Linked DNA regions of Canis lupus familiaris. The protein of the gene in region 2 interacts with the protein of the main gene of each other region in a pairwise test. Links are inferred from orthologs where the notes say so. Each region holds a gene or a part of one and is shown on either strand. Other genes may lie near its edges.

The links. The genes of interacting proteins can lie anywhere in the genome.
Region 1: the proteins of FATE1 (region 2) and BNIP2 interact in binary tests that used the Homo sapiens proteins (3 or more experiments, as listed by UniProt). The two-hybrid records come from large-scale screens. The link is inferred for Canis lupus familiaris from reciprocal best matches to the Homo sapiens genes FATE1 and BNIP2.
Region 3: the proteins of FATE1 (region 2) and SEC22C interact in binary tests that used the Homo sapiens proteins (3 or more experiments, as listed by UniProt). The two-hybrid records come from large-scale screens. The link is inferred for Canis lupus familiaris from reciprocal best matches to the Homo sapiens genes FATE1 and SEC22C.

What each region holds. Positions count from the first base shown.
Region 1 is NC_049251.1:24,906,935-24,914,660, reverse strand, and holds the start of BNIP2 (BCL2/adenovirus E1B 19 kDa protein-interacting protein 2), read left to right. Parts: upstream 1-3,827; 5' UTR 3,828-4,026; intron 4,027-7,726.
Region 2 is NC_049260.1:120,978,022-120,985,739, forward strand, and holds the start of FATE1 (fetal and adult testis-expressed transcript protein), read left to right. Parts: upstream 1-3,582; 5' UTR 3,583-3,677; coding exon 3,678-3,783; intron 3,784-4,806; coding exon 4,807-4,934; intron 4,935-7,718. UniProt on the Homo sapiens protein: Involved in the regulation of endoplasmic reticulum (ER)-mitochondria coupling. Negatively regulates the ER-mitochondria distance and Ca(2+) transfer from ER to mitochondria possibly implicating it in the regulation of apoptosis.
Region 3 is NC_049244.1:11,941,786-11,949,276, reverse strand, and holds the start of SEC22C (vesicle-trafficking protein SEC22c), read left to right. Parts: upstream 1-3,592; 5' UTR 3,593-3,740; intron 3,741-3,951; exon of another isoform or gene 3,952-4,087; intron 4,088-4,259; exon of another isoform or gene 4,260-4,542; intron 4,543-7,491. UniProt on the Homo sapiens protein: May be involved in vesicle transport between the ER and the Golgi complex.

The DNA of each region.
Region 1 (7,726 bases), on a different chromosome or scaffold from region 2:
CTGATAAATGATAACTGCTTTGGTGAATGACAGTGTTATATCTAATTTTGTATTAATCTGGATGCAGTTACTGTAACTGACTACAGAACAGTTTGCCTTACTATATTCTCATTTTTATTTACCCAGCTCAGAAAGAATTTAAAAAGCACTATCACTGGAAAAAATCATCATCGTCATTGTCAATCAATCAATCAAACTTCTCTAATGGAGGCTATCACTTATTTGTATGTTTCTAAATATCGATGTCATTCTGAGAGAAAAATCTACTTCCTTCTTTAAAAATTAGCCTTTACTCAGTAATAAATCAAGCATGGGATACTATCTCTCAGTACTTTTGCAAAAGCATTAATTAATAAGGGGAGTGGTTTTTCGTAATGACCCTTTCAGAGTAGATGAATTCTGTCCATCTTCTTTCCAAATCTCAGCCATGATCTCCAATTTATTGTTGCTCTGATATGGCCAAATTTTATTTTTTTATATTATAAAATATGCCCTCAGATATTTCTAAACTCATATTTGTTATTTCTTTTGTGACATTGCAGAAATAGCTTCACAGAGGACTTGAATATGGACTCAAAGATTATTAGTTTTAGTGAGTAATCTAAGGTAACTCTAGACTTTTTAAATTTATGTTGAATGTATTTCATTCAATGTATTACACATCCTCTCTCATCTTCAACAAACACGGCTCACTCCAGATCTGAGCTCTTTCTCTCACATGACTTCAACCATAACCTATTTCCCTGAATGAGATGAATACTTAAAGTCCCATGGACTAAAATTCTCTGGCAAATTAGCCTAGTTTTCCTCTTGAATGGCCATAATCTAATTTTGCATATGGAAATATTTCTTAAAAATGTGTGCTGCTGCTTCCGTCTCTGTGCTCTGTGAAATGTGGAAGCATCTTGTAACAGTGATGTGTAATATATGTGTGCAATCCAATTTGATTTTTTGAAATAGGGAAGCACAAATTCTCTCTGGAATAATTTCTTTTACTGGTTCATTGTCGACAAGAAACTTGTCACCATGCTAAAGATAAAACTGCTGCTGGGTTTAGTTTAGAATTTTATAAAGTGAATAAGTGAAAAATATATATACATACATTTCAGACTCAAGTTATGAATAATTAAATGAATATATAATTGTATCCAGTTTTACCCTCAAGCTCAACTAGCAAAGACATTCAGCCCATGTAAAAAGGATATTTCACATTTTTTTCAAAAACTATGAGTGAGCTGCCCAACATCACTGAATTTATTTGCTCGTAAGCCAGAAGAACAATCTGTCTATAAAATTATACAGTGGGGAGTGCAGCATTATTCAAGAGTTTTATTTAATATACATTCTGCCTTCTAAAATTTGAATTTACACAAGCATTTTCTTAGTGTTGTCTGGTATACCTTCTTCATCATCTCTCATCCTATCTCTCGGATCCAAGGAGGCAGTAGAGATGAGGAAATAAAGACTCAACACTCTCTATTTTGGCTAAGTGCTTTTGTTTTGATGTATGAAGTATGGCAAAGTAATGTGAATGAATTAATACACATACTAAAATATATACTCAAAAGAGGGGTGCCTCTTTCAAAGTGGTTCTCTCAGAACTTATACTAATAATGCTGTTATTGTGAGGAACATAATAATTGGTTGCTTTTCCATGTTGTTCATCATATTGGCTCTGAATAAACCCTTAGCACTAAAAAAAAAAGCTCCCCCTTTTATCTGGCTCCAGTCATGAAGAAAAAGGGGCAGTTTCTTGAAGTCTCTGCACATTTGCATAAGCCATTCCCTCAGTTTGGAAGATCCTCCTTTTATTACTAAGCTCGAGATGACCCCCTTCCGAAAGTCTTCCTTGACTGGCCCCAACTCCCACCCCTCCCCCGCCATCTGTTTAGCTCCTATTTAGCTGCACTTTGGAAGTACCAACGTCACCTCAATTCACCAAATTGTTTTGCTCCATTTCTTTGCAGGCTCCATGCCGGGAGCCCGACACGGGACTCAATCCCAGGACTCCAGGATTGCGCCCTGGGCCAAAGGCAGGTGTCAAACCGCTGAGCCACCCAGGGATCCCTAGATGATATGTTCTAAAGCCACACTTTTTTTCTTCTAAATTATTTTCCAATTTTAATATTCCAAGTATCTGCCTATTCAAGGAGACACATAGATTATAACCTGAGCCCAAGACAGATGCTCAACCGCTGAGCCACCCAGGCATCCCGAAAACTGTGTTTTTATTATACTTTTTTCAGGCTAACAATTTGACCCATGGCTTACAGGCATTTCACCTAAAAGCTGAAAAAATATATATTGAGCATATTATTTGAAAATATACCTAGTGTGTTGTTTGAAAAATCAGTTAGTCTTATGTCTTGAACTTTTTTGGACATTCTATAAAGTGTGGTTTTCAACCATTAAAAAAATGGAGCAACTAAATTTGTTCAATAAAGAATTGTTAATACAAATTTATCCATAATAAAAATGATGGCATTGAGGAGTTCAGTATGTATTTTTATTTTTTATATTTTATTTAATTTTATCTTGTCTTATTTTATTTATTTTAAGTAGGCTCCCCAGCATACAGCCCAATGCAGGACTTGAATTCATGACCCTGAGATCAAGACCTGACTACTAGGTACTTATTTCATTTTTATAGAAACATATGTGCTATTTATATAGTTATATATATACAAAAATCTGAAAGGATATACCTAAATGTATACCTTCTCTATAGTTTCCAATGTTTCAACAATAAGTATAGCTAATTCATGAGATGAGGATAAGAAGATAAATTGTAGAATGGACTATTCAAAACCAAAGCAAACACCGACCAAACTAACTGAACAATCAAGTCATAGAAATGAAAAAGAAAGATGGCAAAAAAAAAAAAAAAAAAACAAAAAAAAAACAAAAAACCCAACCCCACATAACTGTATATAATTTCAAATGACTTGCTGCCACCTTGTGAGGAATGCTCCTCATTGCAGGACTGAAAAAAGCAAAATAGGAAACTACGGGGGGGGAAAAAAAATCTGAAACTTAAGATAAAATCGCTGACGTAAGCACGATCCAAGAAATTGTTCAGCTAAGGCTCTGCTTATCAGCTGATCCGTCTTGTTTGCTCCGCCAGCTAACTTCACAAAACTGCTTGGAGGAAAATATTATCAAACACGTATATGATGATAGTATGTCGTCGTATGTCTAATAAACAGCACTTTATCTCACAAAAGCCCTAGGAAGTAGGTATTATTTTTCCCTGTTTTCAGAGATGAGACAGAACGGGTGCATGTTGCCAAAACCCCGTAAACCTGGGAGCCGCATTTCGGGTCAGTGATGGACATTTTTCGGTCGCCCCCAAGCTCCCTCTTCCCATTCCCAAATGCACCGTCCCATCGGCGGACGCCTGCGCCCTCGTGGGGACTTGGCGGATGCGGATCTGAGGCCCCTCTGCACACCTGCGCCGCTGCGCCAGGTGCGATGGGTCCGCAGAGCTGGGCCCTTCCGCCACCTGTGCACGGCCGGACGGGAACAGAAACAGCGTCTGGAAGGCGTGACGGTGATCTTACAGCACCTTTATGGCGATTCTTCCTCCCCTACTTTCACCCATTCTATGCTATAAAATTATTCTAAGGATCAATAAAGCCCACAGAAGGGATGTAGAAACGTCCCTTTGAGAGTCGAGGACCGGGTCTCAGCGGGAGGAGAGGAGGCGCGGCCAGCCCGGGCGGAATGCGCATGCGTCAGTCCGCGCGGCCGAGGGGGCGGGGCAAGGGCCAAAGACGCCCCGCCTCCGTCTCCGCCGGCCCCCGCGCCCGAAGGAGGTCGGGATTCCGTCACTTCCGCCCCGGCGGCTGTCTGCGTCCGGGTCAGCTGCTGTCGCTGCGGCTGTAGCCAGGGCACTGGGCCCGGGTCTCCGCTGCAGTCCGAGGGGAGCGGGCTCCTCTCGGCGCTCCCTCCTGCGCCCTGGCCGTCAGCCCCACGTCGCCGGCCTGGAGGGGCGAGGAAGACGAGGGGGCCAAGGCTTCCTCCGGGGTGAGTGCGGCCCGGGAAGGCTGGGCACGGCGGGGCTGGGCTGAGAGCAGGCCTGCGGCGGACGTCTGAGGGGTGCGTGCCCCCCGGACAGCCCGAGAGGGGAGGCGCGGAGGGCTGCGGATGGAGGGGGCCGCCGGGGAGCTTGCCCGGGACGCGCTTCCCGGATCCCCGCCCAGCTTAGGCCCCCGCCCTTGGCTCGGCTCCTGTTTGCCTTAGCTAGGCTTACCCGCCACCCGGCCACCCCTTTTCCGTTTGTGCTGTTGTGTTCGGGGCGGGACTTGCCCCCCCTCCCCCGCTGGGCCCCCCTGCACACCCCCTGGTCTGGGTGCGGTGACCGGGCCGCTTCGGTCGCGTATTTAAGACCAGCGTCAGTCCCGGTGCAGAACAAAGAAACTCGGACGTCTGCTGTGCCCAGTACCCTCGGGGAATAGACGCGGAAGCGGCCCTTGGTAATGAGGGCTTTAGAGGGCCTTCCTACGTATAAAAGCCCAGTTCCTGCGTGGATTCAGACATCAGCTTTTGCTTAATGGTTTGCGTTTCCTGGGCGTCTCTCATGCAGCTGGAAATCTCCTAGATCAACTCCAGTTAAATCAGGAATCTGTTCGGATCTGTTAACGTTGCTTTGAAACTTCCCTCGTCTGCCAGTTGGCGGGAGCCCTCGGAGAGCACAGCTTTTGCCCAGTTCCTCCTGGTTGACATAGTGCCTGCCTTAGAGTTTAGTTGAGTGAAGTGTGTGATTGCACTTTACAGTTGCCTTTTTTTTTCCCCCTCCTCCTCACCTTTTTAAATTAGGATCTCTATTTATCTTAGTGCCTAGTTACGTTTTCAGCGAAACATATTCCTTCTCTAAAATTTTATAAGAATTTCTGCAACTTGTAAATGGATAACTTCAGTTACCCCGTTTAGTTAGCTTGTATACTATCATCTTGATGATCTTTGGACACCTTTTACTTAGTTCTCGTCATTTTACATTTCTTCTAGACTATTCTTATTTTCATAATCTCCTCTATTGCCGCCTCACATTGTTGGGCTAATACAGGAAGTATGACAGGTCCACTTCTGCAAACATGGATCTTGAGCTAGGTGGTCATTAGTCAGTGCTGTTGTAGTCTTTAAGCATTAGAGGACCTTTGAAGTTAAATGTAACCAAGTCTGGCATTACAGGCTTATGCTGTATAAAGTTGCCAGTGAACTGGAGACAGTGTGCTGTATTAGAAACAGGCTGCATTTAATCTGGGACCCAAAATGTAGGGTCATTTGCCTCATATGTAAACTAAAACGGGGATAAATAACACCCATATTTCGTACCTCACAAAAGTTGTTGATTGGAACATACCAGATGATGAATGTACAAGTGGTTAGTAAATGCCAAAAGGAAAGTGGTTCTTTTCTTTGCCTTTGGAGTAACGCCAGTAGGAGCTGTGATGGAGGAAGGCATCTAAAACAAGGAAGGCCAGACAGAGCTGGCAGAGGGAGAAGCAGGCTCCCTGCGGGGAGCCTGATGCAGGACTCGATCCTGGGACTCTGGGATCACACCCTGAGCCCAAGGCTAATGCTCAACCACTGAGCTACCCAGGCGCCCCTGTAATACAGTATTATTAACTATAATCAACACGACACGCTATACATTACATCCTTAGGATTTATTTTATAACTGGAAGTTTGACCCCCTTCACCCATTCCTCCAACCCCTCTTCCGTCTGGCATCCACCAGTCTGTTCTTTACATCTTTGAACTTGGTGTGTGTGTGTGTGTGTGTGTGTGTGTGTGTTTTAAGATTCCACAAGTAAGTGAGACCTTATAGTATTTGTCTTTCTCTAACTTACTTTACATAGCATAATGCCCCCAAGGTCTATCCATGTTGTCCCAACTGGCAAGATTTCATTCTTTTTATGGTTGAATAATATTCCATTGTATATGGATACCACAGTTTTTTTTTTAAGATTTTATTTATTTATTCATGAGAGACACAGAGAGAGAGAGAGAGAGAGAGAGAGAGGCAGAGAGGCAGAGGGAAAAGCAGGCTCCATGCAGGGAGCCCGATGTGGGACTCGATCCCGGGTCTCCAGGATCAGGCCCTGGGCTGAAGGTGGTGCTAAACCACTGAACCACCCGGGCTGCCCTGTATACCACAATTTTTTAATCTATTCATTTATCGGTGGAAACAGGTTGCCTCCATATCTTGGCGATTGTAAATAATGCTGCTATGAACATGGGGCTGCATATACCTTATTGAGATAATGATTTTGTTTCCTTCAGATAAATACCCAAAATTGCTGGATCAAATGGTAGTTCCTTTTAATTTTTCGGGGAACCTCCATACTGTTTTCCATAGTGGCTTTACCAACTTACATGCCTATCAACAGTGCACAGGGACTCCTTTTTCTGCACATCCTTGCCAACACTTGCTATTTCTTGTCTATTCAAGAACGGCCATTCTGACAGGTGTAAGGTGACATCTCACTGTCATTTCGGTCTTAGAAACTTGTATGACCCTGCTTTCAAGGAAGCAGTGACAAGCGTATAAGATTTTTCTGGAGGTGTTTTGGTGATCTTTGTAAACATAAATATAGACTGGTCTAAAGTATTTTCCAGTAACACTACCAGTGCTGCCAGCCTCCTAGGGAAAAGTGAACACAAATACTTAGAATGAAGCCCTTCTGTTTAAATGCAGAAGTAAAAGACTTGCCTGGACATTTCCTTCTGCCAACTATAATTGATTTCAGCATAGATGGTAGTTACTAGCACCTATTCTAGCAGCACTGTTAAACTACATAATAGTAAAGTGGCATGTAAGATTATAATTTATAATTCAGACAGTTGTAAATGTGATTTTAATATTTAATTTTTGCTTATATTGCTGAGTTTATAGGGAAATCCCCTTCTTTATCTTGGTTGAATTTACTGCCACACCTCCCTTCCAGAAGTTGTCTCAGGAGGTAATCCATTCTCCTTGATTTTTAACCTCACTGATGTCAGCCGGTGTTTTGAATTTATCTGTATGCCTTCTGCTGGTAACTGGCATAAGCAATCATGTGCTCCCGGTACCACCAGTATGTTGAGAAATCTAGTTATTCTTGTTGCATTTGGTTATTTTAACAAATAGCATCTTAAAGTGTAATTTCCTCCATTCTAATTTACCAAATCTATGAACAAAAAATGGGAAACAGCCACAGTTAACTTGTGAGTCAGTGGTGTCCTGATTTCCTTCAAAGTGGTTGTGCTTATATTGCTCCTTTCTTGTTTGTTTCCTGTTCTTACAGCTGCTGATGATTAAGTGCTTCCAAGAACAATACTCTCTCAGTTGTTTGAACTTTTTGTCTACCTAGTGTACTTTTCTCTCTACAATTTATGGTGAAATAGGCAAGATTGAGTCTGTCTGCTGTCTCCTGCTGGTTCTGTTTAGCTTAAATAATTATCCCCAAACTAAATATCCATGTCCATGTGCTGTATTAACATGACATGCTTCAATATGATTTTGAAATAAAAATTGAATGAATTGGCTGAAACACTTGAGTTATTTTCAAGTGATAAACTTCTTCAAGTAGTAGGGGAGCTAAAAGACATCATTTGTCTTATAGAATTTCACAAGTTACATATTTCTCTTAGAAATAAGGAATAAGGGCAGCCCCGGTGGCGCAGCGGTTTAGCACCACCTGCAGCTCAGGGTGTGATCCTGGAGACCCGGGTTGGAGTCCCA
Region 2 (7,718 bases):
GTCTCTGTAGCCCCCCACCTTCACTAAGCATGAGCCATTTTCTCAGGCGCCATAAGGCTTGGCCCAGTCCCCTGTGCTCTAGGGATTTTCCAGGCCTCGGGCCCCAAGGTTGTCACACTAGGCAGTGGAGGCTTCCCAGCCACGCTGTAAGGTAGGGATTGTTAGCTCCATCGTCCAGTGTGGAGACAGAGGCCCAAAGAAAGGAAAGACTTGATCAAGGCCAAATCGTGAGATCATGATTAGAATGGGCAGAGCACAGGGGCTGCCAGAGATAAAATAAAGGATACACAGTCAATTGTGAATATCAGATAAACCGTGAGAATACATCTTCAGTGTAAGTTTGTCTCAAACGTTGCGCAGAGTGTACTCACACTAGGAACTTACTTGTCCTGGGACCCGTGGGTGGCTCAGTGGTTGAGCACCTGCCTTTGGCCCAGAGCGTGATCCTGGGGTCCTGGGATTGAGTCCCGCATCTGGGGCCCCTCTGCAGGGAGCCTGCTTCACCCTCTGCCTGTGTCTCTGCCTCTCTGTCTCTGTGTCTCTCATGAATAAATAAGTACAATCTTTAAAAAAAAAAGAAACTTACTTGTCCTTTATCTGAAATTCAAATTTAGTTGGCGGTTTGTATTTGTATTTGCTCAGTCTGGCAGCCCTGGCCAGCAGAAGCCTATGGTTCCTGCTTCCCAGGCTCCTGGGTCCCCCCAAAGCACACTTCTCCACTCTTAAGGTGGCCTTCCAGAAAGCTCGGATTTCATTGCAGCTGCTCCACTGGATCTGGGAAGGGCTTCCTCAGGGCCTTCAGGAATGCAGGCAGGGCCTGGGTCTGCTGGGCTCCAGATTAGTCCCAGTGCTGGACAGGTGGGGCCAGGGAGGGGGCCAGGCAGTCCAGACCATGTCACCCTCTCTAGGCAAGTTGCAGCCCTTCCTTTTCTCTCTCACACTTTCCTTCCTCCCTCCTCCTTCCCTGCTTCCTCCTCTTCTTCCCTCCTCTTCCTGGCCCCAGCTGGGCTTGGTTCCTTTTGCAAATCACCTCCTCTTCCCCCCAGGGACTCTGGAGCTATTCCCTAGAGCCCAGGGTTCACCTCTGGTGATTGTATCAGTCAGGGTTCTCTAGAGAAAAGAAACCAGTAGGACTTATGTCAGTACATGTATGTATGTGCAAATGCCTATGTGTGTGTATACAGAGATTTATTTTGAGGAATTGGCTCCTGCCATTATGGGGCTTGCAAGGGCAAAATCTGCAGGGCAGGCCTGCACATTGGAATCTGAGGCAGGGAGAGATGCTGCAGTCTTTAAAAAAAATTGTTTTTTTTTTTTTAAAGTTTGAGCATAGTCCACATACAATGTTACATTAGTTTCAGGTGTACAATATAGTGATTCAACAAGTTTGTACATTATGCTATGCTCAGTACAATTGTAGCTGACACCCGTCACCATACAATGTTATTTTAATATCACTGACTCCGTGTTCCTGGTGTTCCTGCCGTGCTTTTTACTCCCATGATTTATTCCTTCCATATCTCCCACTCCCCTGGACCTATTTTGCCCATCCCCTACCCCCCTCGTCTCTGGAAATCAGCAGTTTGTTCTTTGTATTTATAGGTCTGAATGTGCTTTTTGTTTGTTGTTTTCGACTCCACATATGAGTGGAATCATATGGTATTTGTCTTTCTCTGTCTGACTTATTTCACTTAGCATAATACCCACTAGGTCCATCTACATTGTCACAAACAGCGTGATTTCATCTTTTTTAATGTTTGCACAATATTCCACTGTATGTGTATATGTCATGTCTTCCTCATTCGATATCCAATATTCTTATTGATGGACACTTAGGTCACTCTGTATCTGGGCTGTTGTAAATAATGCTGCCATAAAAATAGGGGTGCATATGTCTTTTCACATTAGTGTTTTCATTTTCTTTTTTTATTGTTGTTTTGTTTCATTTTCTTTTTTTAAGATTTTTTTAAATGTATTTATTTACTCACGAGAGGCAGAGAGAGAGAGAGAGAGAGAGAGAGAGAGAGGCAGAGACACAGGCAGAGGGAGAAGCAGGCTCCATGCAGGGAGCCCGACATGGGACTCGATCCGGTCTCCAGGATCACACCCTGGGCTGAAGGTGGCGCTAAACCGTTGAGCCACCGGGGCTGCCCTTTGTTTCATTTTCTTTAGGTAAATACCCAGTAGTGGGATTATTGTTTCATACAGTATTTCTATTTTTAATTTTTTGAGGAAACTCAATTCTATTTTCCATAGTGGCTGCACCAATTTGCATTCCCACCAACCGTGCGTGAGGGTTCCTTTTTTTTTCCATGTCCTCACCAACACTTGTTTCTTGTATTGTTGATTTTAGCCATTCTCACAGGGGTGAGGTGATACCTCATGGTGGTTTTGATTTGCATTTCCCTGATGATGAGTGATGCTGAGCATCTTTTCACATGTCTGTTGGCCATCTGTATGTCTTCTTTGGAAATAAGTCTATTCAGGTCCTCTGCCCCTTCTTAAATTGGATTTTTTTGTTTTTCTAGTGCTGACAGTTGTATCAGTTCTTTATATATTTTGCATTTTAACCCCTTCTCAGATACATCATTTGCCCATATCTTTTCCCATTCACTAGGTTGCCTTTCTGTTTTGTTGACAGGTTCCTTTACTGTGCCAAAGCTTTGTATTCTGATTTAGTCCCAGGAGTTTTTGTTTGCTTTTGTTTCCCGATGTTGCATTCTTGAGCAAAATTTCTTCTTCGCTGGAAAACCTCAGTCTTTGCTCTTCAGGCCTTTCAACTCATTAAATGAGGCCTATCCACATTATCAAGGATTAGTAATGTCTTTTACTTAAAGTCCACAGAGTGCAAATGTCAACCAAAGCTCCAAAATAACTTCATAGCAACACCTAGACTAGTGTTTGATGGAATAACTGGGAACTATAGGCTACCCAACGAACAGATAAACTTGACCCTCACAGTGGTCTAATCATTAGGGAAGCTGAGAGAGAATTTGGACTTAGACCAGGGACTGCAGGGCCTGCCTGGGGACAGTGGGCCCTCCAGTGGCTACAGGTAGATCCCTTCTTTCCTGCCCTTCCCTCCTTAGATTCTCATGGTTCCTGCTCAGACTGACCCAAGGCATTAAAAGGCCATCTCCCCTGGGAACTCTACATTGGGGGGAAACAAGATGTGCTCTGTAGAGGATGCCTCCTGAGGGGAGCTGTGGCCTGAAATACTTGCCAGAGCTGGGCTTGCAGAAGCCACAACAAGTTTGGGATCTAACCCTGTTCTGGCTACTGACTGGCTTTGGGGTCCTGTGCCAGTATCTACCTCTCTTTAGAAATGATGGAGAGTAGATCCCACTGGCCCCTCAATGGGGCCAAATCATGTGACCCGAGAGCCAGGGTAGTTCTCACAGGCAAAGTTTCTGAGATAAGTATCAGAAACTCCTCCTCCTAAGTTGCTTACAGAGTAGCAGGGGAGAAGACTGTGAACCAAGCCAATAAGATACAACAGGAACACAAGGTGCTGGGTCCAAGGCCTGAGTCCTGTGGGAGAGTGTGGCTCCACCCCCATGGCCAGATATATCTTCCTCGAGCTCCTGCCCCTGGAAGAGCAGACTTTCCAAGAGTCTGCTCTGTGCCCGGCTTCCTGTGTATCCTGGCTATAGCTTAATAGCTAAGCGCTAGCTGTGATGGCAGGAGGCCCCCCTACTATCAAGGAGGAGATGGAAACATCCATCGCTGAAGAGCTGGTTCCTGGAAACTATGGGAAAAGCCAGGAGCACCTGGTGATAGCAGGTGAGGAGCCCCTGTAATGTCCCTTTCCTTTGGGTGTCTGCACCCAGTCACATGTGTTGGAGAAGGTGTGTTCATGGCTGGGAAGAGTCATATATATGCAAGTATGTGTGGCTATGTGTGTGTCTGTGCCTTGGTGTGCGTATACCTGTATTTGTGCCTTGATGAACAGGAAGCTGGGGGGGAAAGGTATTGATGATGTGAGCATTTTGAAGCCTGTGAGAGAGTAGGATGGGATCCACATGTGTGGTCCTTATCTCCCCCTGTCCAAGCTACCACTGTGTTTATGGCAAAGTATCCAGAGCGCTCAATTTATAAGATCATTCAGACCAATTCTCTCTCCTTTTTAATGCCTTTTCCTCCTTTAGAGTAAAATCCAAACTCCTTTCCTTGATCTACAAGAGCCAGCCAATGCCACCTCCTCAATATATTTCATGCTGTGGTATGATGACCCACAGCACACTGCATTTATACTTGTCCTCATAAGACCCGAAGGCTGATTCTTCCTGATAGCCTTTGTGTTGACTGCTACCTCTGCCTGGGATGCTGTTTTCCTAGATTTTCCATGGCTGCCATCATTTTTGTCTTTCAGGTCTCTGCCTCACAGGTGTTTCTGGCTTTTCTAGAAGTAGCCCTTCCTTCCACCATGTTGCCCTGTTCTTATCATTTTGGGAGCATGTATCTCTTGATCTGAGTTAACACTGATAGATTATACCCATTTTGCACCCCTCACTTCAGCTAAGCACACATAGACAGTTGATTACTAGATTGCTGAGATCTTGTGTCTTGGTCATTGCTCTCCCTCCAGTAACCTAGCCCAGAGTTTGGCCCTCAAGAAATACTTACTAAACTTTTAAACAAATGAACAGACTGAGGCTTGGGATCTGCCAGGGGACAACAGTGAATGAATATTGAATGACTCCTAAGAAGTTTGGGTACCTTATCCTCTTTCTGGTGTGTCCTGTGTCCAGGAAGCCTTGGTATAGCCTCTATGGGTGTTTCTGGGGCCTCTCTTCTTTTGCCTAGAAATGATGGAGCATGGATCCCAGTCTGTGGGTGCTTCTCAGCGGCGACAGAAGGCGGATCCAAAGGCTGCTGGCTCTGCTGCAGGTCAATCGGGTTGGAATATGACTGGCAACCGGAGCAAGAAAGCGGTACTGTATGGAGTCCTTGGCATGCAGTGGCTAGGCTGGGGTTGGGACAACAGACTAAAGGGGCTCCAGCTTCATGACGGTAGGTTGAGCAGAGCCAGATGTTGACTTGGGGCCAAAGGAAAAAGCTTTTGTGTACCAGTGAGGCAATGAAGGCAGGGATGTCCTTTGAGAGGTCAGGGCCATCCTTTGGTAGGCTGGGAGCTCAACCTTGGGTTTCCAGAACACCGGATTCACATATTCCTTGGGGACTACATATACACTTTATTTTGCAAAACTCTATTGTGTGTGAAATGACACTTTCCTTTATAAATAAATAATTCTATATGTATATTTCCTTCCATATCTATATTATCTATATTATCTATATAAATTATAACTATATAAATTATTTAATTATCAACTAAATAATCAGCCTGGAATCATGAGAATCATTGATGAATAAAAGGAAGGAAGGATAGGAAAGAAAGAATCTGTCTGTAGCCATTGGAGGCCCCACTGTCCCCATACAGGTCCTACAGTCTCTGGTCTAAGTCCAAATTCTCCCTCAGCTTCCCTAATGATTAGATCACTATGAGGGTCAAGTTTACCTGTTTGTTGGGTAGCCTGTAGTTCCCAGTTATTCCATCAAACACTAGTCTAGGTGTTGCCATGAAGGCATTTTGGAATTTATTTTATTTTATTTTTATTTTTATTTTTTTAAAGATTTATTTATTTATTTATGATAGAGAGAGAAAGAGAGAGGCAGAGACACAGGAGGAGGGAGAAGCAGCTCCATGCACCGGGAGCCCGACGCCGGACTTGATCCCGGAACTCCAGGATCGCGCCCTGGGCCAAAGGCAGGCACTAAACCGCTGAGCCACCCAGGGATCCCCATCATTTTGGAATTTTAGTTAGCATCTACACTCTGTGGACTTTAAGTAAAAGACATTAGTAATCCTTGATACTGTAGATGGACCTCATCTACGCTATTAAATAGAAATATACATACATAAAACAATATGATTCTCAAGTCTGGAAAAAGATTAAGACAAGTTAGGTTCCTATGTTCCCTGGCTGTTAGGAAATCCAATCAATTGAATCTGACCATTATGTAGCCAATCCTTTAAAGTACCTTTAATGTGGGTTAAGAAAAGCTCTGGAAAACTGGCAGGTACACTGTTACAAAGGATACTGGGAAAAGGTGGTCATTTTGGAGAGGAGGGAGACCTGAGTGTTCTAGGGAATCCCGTGAGATCTCTCACTGTGTAGCCAATCCTTTAGGTTACATTCACTGCTAAGTGAGAAGAAGCTTTGGAAACATGGTTGCTATACTGTTGCAAAAGTTGCTGGAAAAAGAGAACCCAGTTGGAGAGGAGAGGGACCTGACTGTTGAAGGGAGTCATCTGAGTTTCAAGTTCTGTATCCAATCTGTTCCACACTTTCACTGTGAGGGAGGGAAAGCTTTAGAAAAATGGTTGTTATACTGTTGCAAATGTTACTGGGAAAAGGCAACTCGGTTGCAGAGGAAGGGAAACCCAGTGTTCTTGGAAATCATCTGAGTCTCATTGTTCTGTAGCTAATCCTTTAAGCTACATTCACTCTGGGTGAGGGAATGTTCTAGAAAAAAAATGGCAGCCATATTGTTGCAAAGATTACTGGGAAAAGGTAGCCATGTTGGAGGAAGGATGACTCGACTATTCTAGGGAATCAGTTGAGTCAGGTAGTTCTGTAGCAGATTCTGTTAGCCAGAGTCACCATGGTTGTTACACTGTTGCAGAAGCTAGTGGGGAAAGTCAATAAGATTGGAGATTCCGGAGGCCTGGCTGTTCTAGGGAATGAGATATGATAAATGCCTAAGTGATTCCACTGCCAATGAATAAAGAGAAAAAGAGCTCCCAGAGACCTCTTGGGAATGGAAATAAGCTAGAAATACTGAATTGGTTTAGTCTCCAATGGCAGAAGTCAAATCAGGTTGCTCCAGCAGGTCAGGCTCCAGCAAGCCACCCATGCCCATGAGATTGAGGCAGAATGGGATGAGGGGGGGCAGTGGGGAGATATAATATCTGGATTAATTACAGTTACCTTTTAGGACCACAGGAATACTTTAAAAAGAAACAGCTGATATACTGATATGTATTATATACTAAATATATTGAATTTAGAAATTAGACATTTAGAAATAAGAAATTTACCAATTCTATTTATCATTGACTTTTGAGCACCTCCCCCCAAATGGAACTACCACCACCTTTGACAGAATCACAGCATGAAAGGCCAAAATTTCATGATAGTGTTTTGCTGATTTGGGTGTTGAGGAAGTAGTGTGCCTTGAAGAGTAAATGAAAATAAAAATAACACTATTTGAAGTAGTAGGCAGAAGCTAGGAGTTAATGAAGTTCATAGATTTTCTTAATCTCCATCAAAGTGCTAGCTATAAAATTCTTATATATTATTATGCATATAATTCTAAATTCACAACCATTCCTGGCTTTATTTATTTTATTTTATTTTTAAAAGATTTTATTTTTCTATTCATGAGAGACAGAGAGAGAGAGAGGCAGAGATACAGGCAGAAGCTGGCTCCATGCAGAGAGCCTGACGTGGGACTCAATCCCGGGTCTCCAGGATCACACCCTGGGCTGATGGCAGTGGTGCTAAACCTTTGAGCCACCCTGGCTGCCCCCATTCCTGGCTTTAAATGACTGCTCTGCGACTTACCTGTTGTGTGACTTGGACAAGTAACATGACCTCTCTGTGTCTCAGTTTTCCAATCTTTCAAAATGAGATGATAGTGATACCTATTTT
Region 3 (7,491 bases), on a different chromosome or scaffold from region 2:
GGGTCAAGGGCCGGTTTGGTGATAAAAGCATCACTTTGAGAAGCATCACTTGTGGAAACTGACTGGAACCGTGCAGGGGATAAGACTACTCAAGGAGAGTGAGTTGGCTTCTCTCCTGGCCAAGGAAAAGAAACTACAAAGGAGAATGGGGGCGGGGGGGGGGAGACTAGAGATATAAGAGGAAATCCGGGAGCGTGGAGGGGTAGAGGCGAGACAGTCATATGGGAAATAAGAGTGAGTAGGAAAGCAAGATAGAACAGCAATTACAAATGCTGTGGAAAGGTCAATCAAGGTAGAGACTAGGTCTTTGATATCCTTAATGGAGGAAATTCCAGCGATATGTCGAGGCAGCAGTGAGAATTGTCAGGGACAGTGAAATACAGGAAAGGTGAAGCAAATGGAATCTTTAGAGCAGGCCACTCTTTCCGAGAAGTTTGACTGTGAAGGGGAAAAGGGAACAAAGGTGGTAGTTGGGAGGGACAGAAGTTGGTGCAAGCTGAGGGCTATCCCTTTAATGGTTGTTCTTTTCTTGGTGAAAAAGGCACCTGGGAAAGTGAGGGGGATGTTGAAGAGTGGAAGATTGGGGAAGCATGCAGGAGATTTTGAGGTTGGTATTCTGGAGAATTGGAGAGAGGCAAACATAGGACTGCTGGACAGTGTTGAGGACCTGGTGGAGGTGGGCAATGCATATACATAGCACTGATCTGTGTGGTTGTAAGATTTTTTTTTTTTCCAGCAGTACTTATAGCTCAGGAACAGAGTTAGAGAAACCCAGAAGGTTGGATTTTTTTTCCCCAGAGTTGGAGACCTGCCAGGCAGGTGTGACAGAAGAATAATTGCAGAATGGAGGTAAGCATATTGGGAAAAAGGTGATGGAAGTGATAAACCTTGGACTTTCAGCTGATGGGGAAGGAAATAAAGATTGGGGAGAGGTGATACATTGAACAAAGTAAGAAGGACAAGTGGAGTGGAGGCTTCTGCAGGCCAGAGAACAGTGGGCAGATTTCTGAGAACAGTCAAGGGACAGAGATCAGGTGTCTGCATTTACAACTTCAAACGTGGAGCTCTTCTATGGTGATAAGCAGTTCAGGATGTGATCCTGAAGTGGAGGGATGAAGAAGCCTGGGAAAGTCAAAATGACCAGTGATGGAGAGGAGGGCTAGGACTTCAGATTCTACATCTTACCTTTTAGCCCAGTCCACTCTGGTGCCCCAGTCACATGAGCTGCACCAATCAGAAGGCACAAAGCCCTATTATAAAGCACTCAAACTGTAGATTCTGAGAACCCGGGGCTCCATATTCAAAAGCTGTAGGTCTGGTGCCAATTTTTCCTTCCTCATTCCAAGCCAGAGCCTTGTTTTCATGACCGTGGTGAGAAGACCTCATCTCCATTCACGTGTGAATGCACCTTGAGAGGGAATCCTAGCCTCTTTCCTGGCACATACAATGAAGGGGTTTCAATCTCCTTTACCAATCAAATCTCATTGTTTTTATCCTTTGTGTCTCTTATGATCTAGCCTCATGATCATTTGTCACACAGGCCAACCCTGACTCAGTGGCGATCCCTGGAGGTCAACTCTGTCATAGCTCTCTTCTGTTTTCATTTTGTAATTTTTCTCTATGTGAGGTCTGCTTCAATTTCTGCCCATTTGGTGATGATTTTCAAAAGTCTATGTCCAGCCCAGACCTGTACATGGAATGCCAACCTGTATGTTCGACTGTGTACAATGACATCCCAACCAGAAGTGTCAAAGGGTGCCTCAAATTCAGTTTGTCTTAGATGGAACTAGTGATCATTCGTCTCTCCAAAATCAGATCCTTTTCCAGCGTTCTTTATATCCATGAATCCCTCCACTTTCTACCCAGTCACTCAAGGCTGAACAGTGGCATTGTCCTTGAAGCTACTTTGTTACCGTTTCACATCCAGATCATCACCAAGTCTTGTTGATTTTTCTCCTCTATGTCTCTGCAGACTGCCTAGTTCTCACCCTCTTCACCATCGCTCGGGTCTAAGTCCAAGCTCCAACTTCATCCTCTCATGCCCAGATGGCTGCATTGGCTTCCCAGCTCTCCTATCAGAGAGATAGGAGATAGGTGGTCTTAGCTCTTCTATTCTCTCTAGTGGCTCTCACCATATTCCTTACTCTCTAAACTCTGAGTTTTTTTATCTTTCTTGTCTTTTTCTTCTTTGTGGTAAAATATACATAAAATTTACCATTTTAACCATTTATTTATTAAAGATATTATTTTTATTTTTAAAAATATTTTATTTATTTATCTGAGAGAGTGAGCAAGAGAGAGCACGAATGGGAAGGAGGGGTGAGGGAAAGCAGACTCCCCTGGGAAGGGAGCCCAACCCAGGGCTCCATCCTAGGACCCGGGGATTATGATCTGAGCTGAAGGCAGACATTTAATCAACTGAGCCACCCAGCCACCCGCTCCTCCACCCCTGCCCCGTTTTAACCATTTTTAAATGTACAATTCTGTGACGTTTAAAATTATACATTGTTGTGCAGCCATCACCATTATTCATTTTCAGAACTTTTTCTCCTTCCCAGTTGAAATTCTGTGCCTGTTGAACACTAGCTTCTCATGTACTACCCCGTTTCTTTTCATCCCTCAAAGAAGCCTTGCTGCCTCCCTGTTCTTTGTACATACTCTACCCTCTGTCTGAACCAGTCTTCTATCCCTTTTTGCCTCCTTAGCTACTAGTCAGCTGGTGTCACATTCTCAAAGAAGCCTCCTCCGACTCCCAAGTTCAGACCGGAAGCTCCCGTAATTTCTCTAAAAAGCCTTGTTCCTGGGATGCCTGAGCGGCTCAGTAGTTAAGCATCTGCCTTTGGCTCAGGTCGTGATCCCAGGATCCTGGGATGGAGTCCCCCATCAGGCTCCCCAGAGGAAGCCTGCTTCTCCCTCTGCCTGTGTCTCTGCCTCTCTCTCTGTGTCTCTCATGAATAAATAAAATAAAAACATCTTAAAAAGGAAACCTTGTTCCTCTCTGAAGAGCACGCGTCTCGGTTTGTATTTAAACACACGTGTAACTGTTGAATTGTTCGATTGGTGCTCTCACTCTGCCCTCTCTCTTTTCTTTAAGATTTCATTTATTTACTCATGAGACACAGAGAGAGAGAGAGAGAGAGAGAGAGAGAGAGAGAGAGAGAGGCAGAGACACAGGCAGAGGGAGAAGCAGGCTCCATGCAGGGAGCCCGACGCGGGACTCGATCCCGGGGCCCCAGGATCAGGCCCTGGGCTGAAGGCGGCGCTAAACCGCTGCGCCACCCGGGCTGCCCTCTGCCCTCTCTTAACATAGTTTTTAGTGTCAGGAGTTCCTTCTGTGTCCCCAGTGCCTGGCATAGTGTCTGACACACAGCAGGTGCTCAAAATTTGTTGGAGGAAAACTAAATGGACGACTTCAGCTTCCCTGCAGCGGGCCGTGCATCTGTGGTATCTGTGAGCGCCTCCCCCGCCAGACTGAGGTGTGTCCCTCCAGGGTCGGACTTCAGCACCTCGTCCGAGGTGGCAGGAGGCTGTGCTCTTTGGTTTCGCCTATCTCGGGCTTCCCGCCCCGCCGCGCAGGCAGCGGAACCCACAGCCGGGGCGTGTCGCGCAGTTCCGCGGAACCTCCCTGCCTCGGCGCGTCAGTCGTGTACTCTACCCCGGCAGGAACCGAACGGAGACGGAGAAGTCTCCTGGCACCTCCGGACGTGGGGACTACAGGCCTGGACATCAAGCCCACCCGGGTGAGAGCCCCGAGAAGGGACGCAAGCCGAGAGGCGCGCGCGCCGGGGCCACAGCCCGGGCGCCTTCGGGTCGCAGCCCTTTAAGAAGCCTCCGGGTCGGGACTGCGCGGGGAGCGGGCGGGGAGAGCGCTCCGGGATTGGTCGGCCCGGGTGCGGGTGTCGCTTAGCAGCAGCGAATGGAGACTCAAGGCCTGCGCATGCGCACCTCCGCCTACCTGCGCCTGGGCCGCCAGTGACCTGGGCCGGGTCCGCCCGGTGGGCTGAGGTTGCGGAGGCGGCGGCGGGTGGTACTGCGGCGAGGCGGGGCGACCCGCGGGCGCCGACTCCCGGAGGCCGCCGTGGGCGAGGTGAGGGCTCGCGGGTGGAGCCGGGCGCCGCGGCCCGTTAGCCGAAAGCGGGCGGGGTCGGGTGTGGCGCAGGGCGGGCCTGGAGGTGGAGGCGGCGCCGGGCCCGCCCCTCCCTCGGGCCGGGCTTGGCCCCACCTGGCTCCGTGGGGCTCGTCGGAGTCCTCTGTCCGCCTGGCTTCCCCCGGCGGGTCTGCCGACTCGGGGACGGCGGAGGCGCGCGCCGGCAGGGACCCCGAGCTGACAGCTGCGCGCCGATCGCTGCTCCCAGTGGGAGGAGAAGGGGTGTGTCCAGATGAGAGGGGGCGATCGTTTCCTTCATTGTCCGCGAAGCCCCGGTCAGAGTACTGTTTAATTTTAATAGCAAACTTTCCTTGGCATGCCGGAGTTCTACGGCTTGCGGTACCAAATCCTGGGCACACTGGACCAGTTTTCCGAACATCAGGTATATAGAGGAGGTGAGATGTACATTTGTGCCTATTAGAGGCTTACCTCTGGACCTCCAGAGCCAGAAGGATGAAGCACTCCGGGGAAAATTAGTTTTTTTTGTTTTTCTGTTTTGTTTTGTTTTGTTTTTGGAAATCAGAGCCACAAAAGAATATTCCCAGTTGGCGAAAAGTAATTGGTGATACTTGTCACATGGTCAGAACAAAAAAATAAAGCTCAGACTGATGGATAAGGTAAATCTTAGTTAAGTTTTACAAAGGAATTCATCTCGAGAAAGGCAATTTTAGTGAAATTAAAATGCAAATAATTGAAAGTGGTTTAATACTGGTATATAGAATTAAATCGATATAACGGTGTTTGCTCTGGAAAATACATTTTAGACAATGGTTCTTAGAGCTCTGAGTGTTTGTGTTCACAACACAGAAGACATCTTGCAATGGAAAAGTTTTATTCTTAGAAGGAGCCTCAGAAACCAGCTGCATCGGAAAGGTGATTGACGGTCAGAGAGGAAAACTGACTTACTTACTAAAAGTAACACGAGGAGTATGAACAGTTGTAAAAAGAGTTCTTTTTTAAGAACCCTGTTCTTAAACAGGTCTTAAACCCTGTTCTATTAACAGGTCTCTGATTAGTTGAGTAGTGATGCTCTAGGAGAAAGAGAAAATAAAATAGCTGTAATCCCACAGATTGGATTTAGAGAGGGAGAGTGTAATGAAAAGGTTATATAGGTTTTTGAATATTTTGAGTAAGGAACTTTGGGTTTGAACCCTGGCTCCATATCACTTATGCCTTGGGAGCTACAGTTTCCCCACCTGTCTGGTATAGATTATGCCTACTTCATAGATAGTTATAAGGAGTAAATAACATTATCAGTTTAAAAGTTCTAGCACAGTGTCTTGCATAGGAGTTGCTATCAAGTTCAGGCCTCTGCTCTTCTTAGCTCCTATGAAAGAGTTGACCTCTACCCACGCACCTCCACCCACTATCCCCAAGCAACATGGAACAAAGGAGCCTGAGTGATCTACAATTTGGGTAACCAGTTCTCAAGTCTTGTGGCTGAAGATGAATTCAGTAAGGATGACATAACTCAATTTTGTTTTCTATATTGTGTATTTGAGGAATGGGTAATATGCCTTATGGTGAGCACATATTTGAATATTTGTGTGCCAAATTAAACTTGTTTTGCTTGTTTATGCTACTATTTTGCAAGGCCCTGGTCACTTAATGCTGTTTTTCTCTCATGCTTTCTTTCTCTCTCTTTTGGAGAGAGGAGGGGGAGGCATATATGTGGTAGGGATTTGGGAGAGGGCTAAGTGTAAGACCGAGGAAAGAAAAAACAACATTGGGAACAAGGGTGGCCTCCAGTTAGGCCCAAAGTCTTTGCTGATAGAATAGGGATAATCTATGACATGAGCAGTTTATAAATAGATGCTGAGCAGAGGATTTAGGAAATGGAAGAGGCAGATTAAGATACCATTTTTATAAAGCCTGGTAGTAACTCAGGTGCTGTATGTTTGATTACTAATTCAGTTTCTCCTTTAAAAAAATTCTACTTCTATTAATTTTTTTCCTCTGCAAGTAGAAATTTATTGTGGAAAAATATTCGGAATATAGCAAGATCTGCAAACCCGCATTTCTTGGCTCAGTGGGCAAAAATAAGGCAGCTCTTAGGTCATTCATTCATTTACTTAGCAGTTTTTACTGAGGGCTTCCTCATGTGTGCCAGGCATGGTGTCAGGTTATAAGGTCCCACTGGCCTGTAGAAGGAGCAGGGAAGACATACTAGTGTCTCTGTGTGAGTACTCTGAGGGTGCTTTTACCCTTGTATAATTGATAATTTTTTTCTATAATTGTGGCATGATTTTCCAGATTTATACCACTACTTCTTGTTTTTTATTTACTATTTATTTATTTATTTATTTATTTATTTATTTGAGACGCAGGGGGAGAGGGAGAGAGGCAGAGACACAGGCAGAGGGAGAAGCAGGCTGCATGCAGGGAGCCCGATGTGGGATCGATCCGGGGTCTCCAGGATCATGCCCTGGGCTGAAGGCAGATGCTTAACCACTGAGCCCCCCCGGGCTGCCTTACTTCTTGTTTTTTTTTTTTAAACTGAATACTAGTTATCTACAAACACCTTTTATTTTAATTAATTAACTCTAAGATTAGAACCCCTTCCAGTTTGGAAATGTCATGTAGTTATAGAGCCTGCTTGCTATAAAACATATTTTTCAACATTCAAGCATAGATCCTCAAAACTTCAATTAATTAGCAGACAAGAGTATTGATCTACTTTAGAGATATCTAAAAGTAATACTTAAACATAAAAAGCAGATAGGAGCATAATTTAAGTAAGTGGTATAAAGACCTTAAGTTAATACTTTTTTTCTTCAAATTTTATTTAAAAATAATTATAGGAATTTGCAAAGATAGTACAGAGAGGTTCCATATACCCTTTACTTAGTTTCCCCGATTGGTTACATCTTACGTAATGTAAGTATAGTACGATATCAAATCCAGGAAAAAAAAAGTTAAGATATTTAAATTCAATTGGCCAACATACAGTATAATACCCAGTACTCATCCCATCAAGTGCCCTCCTTTAGTGCCTGTCTCAAATCCAGGAAATTAGCCTTGATAAAAGTACATATAGTTCCATGACATTTTACCATATGTATAGATTCCTATAACTACCACTATAATCAAGATACAAAATTGTTGCATCACCACAAATATCTTCCTCTTGTTCTCCTTTCTAGTCACACCCATACCTCTTCTCCCCACCATCCCTAACCCTAGGCAGCCACTAATAATTTCTCTGTCTGTGATTTTGTCGTTTTGAGAATGTGACATAAAAGGATTCCTATGGTATGTGACCTTTTGAGATTGGATTTTTTTTCATTTGACACAGTACTCTTGAGATCCATCTAAGTTGATCTGAGTTTTAGTAGTTTATTTCT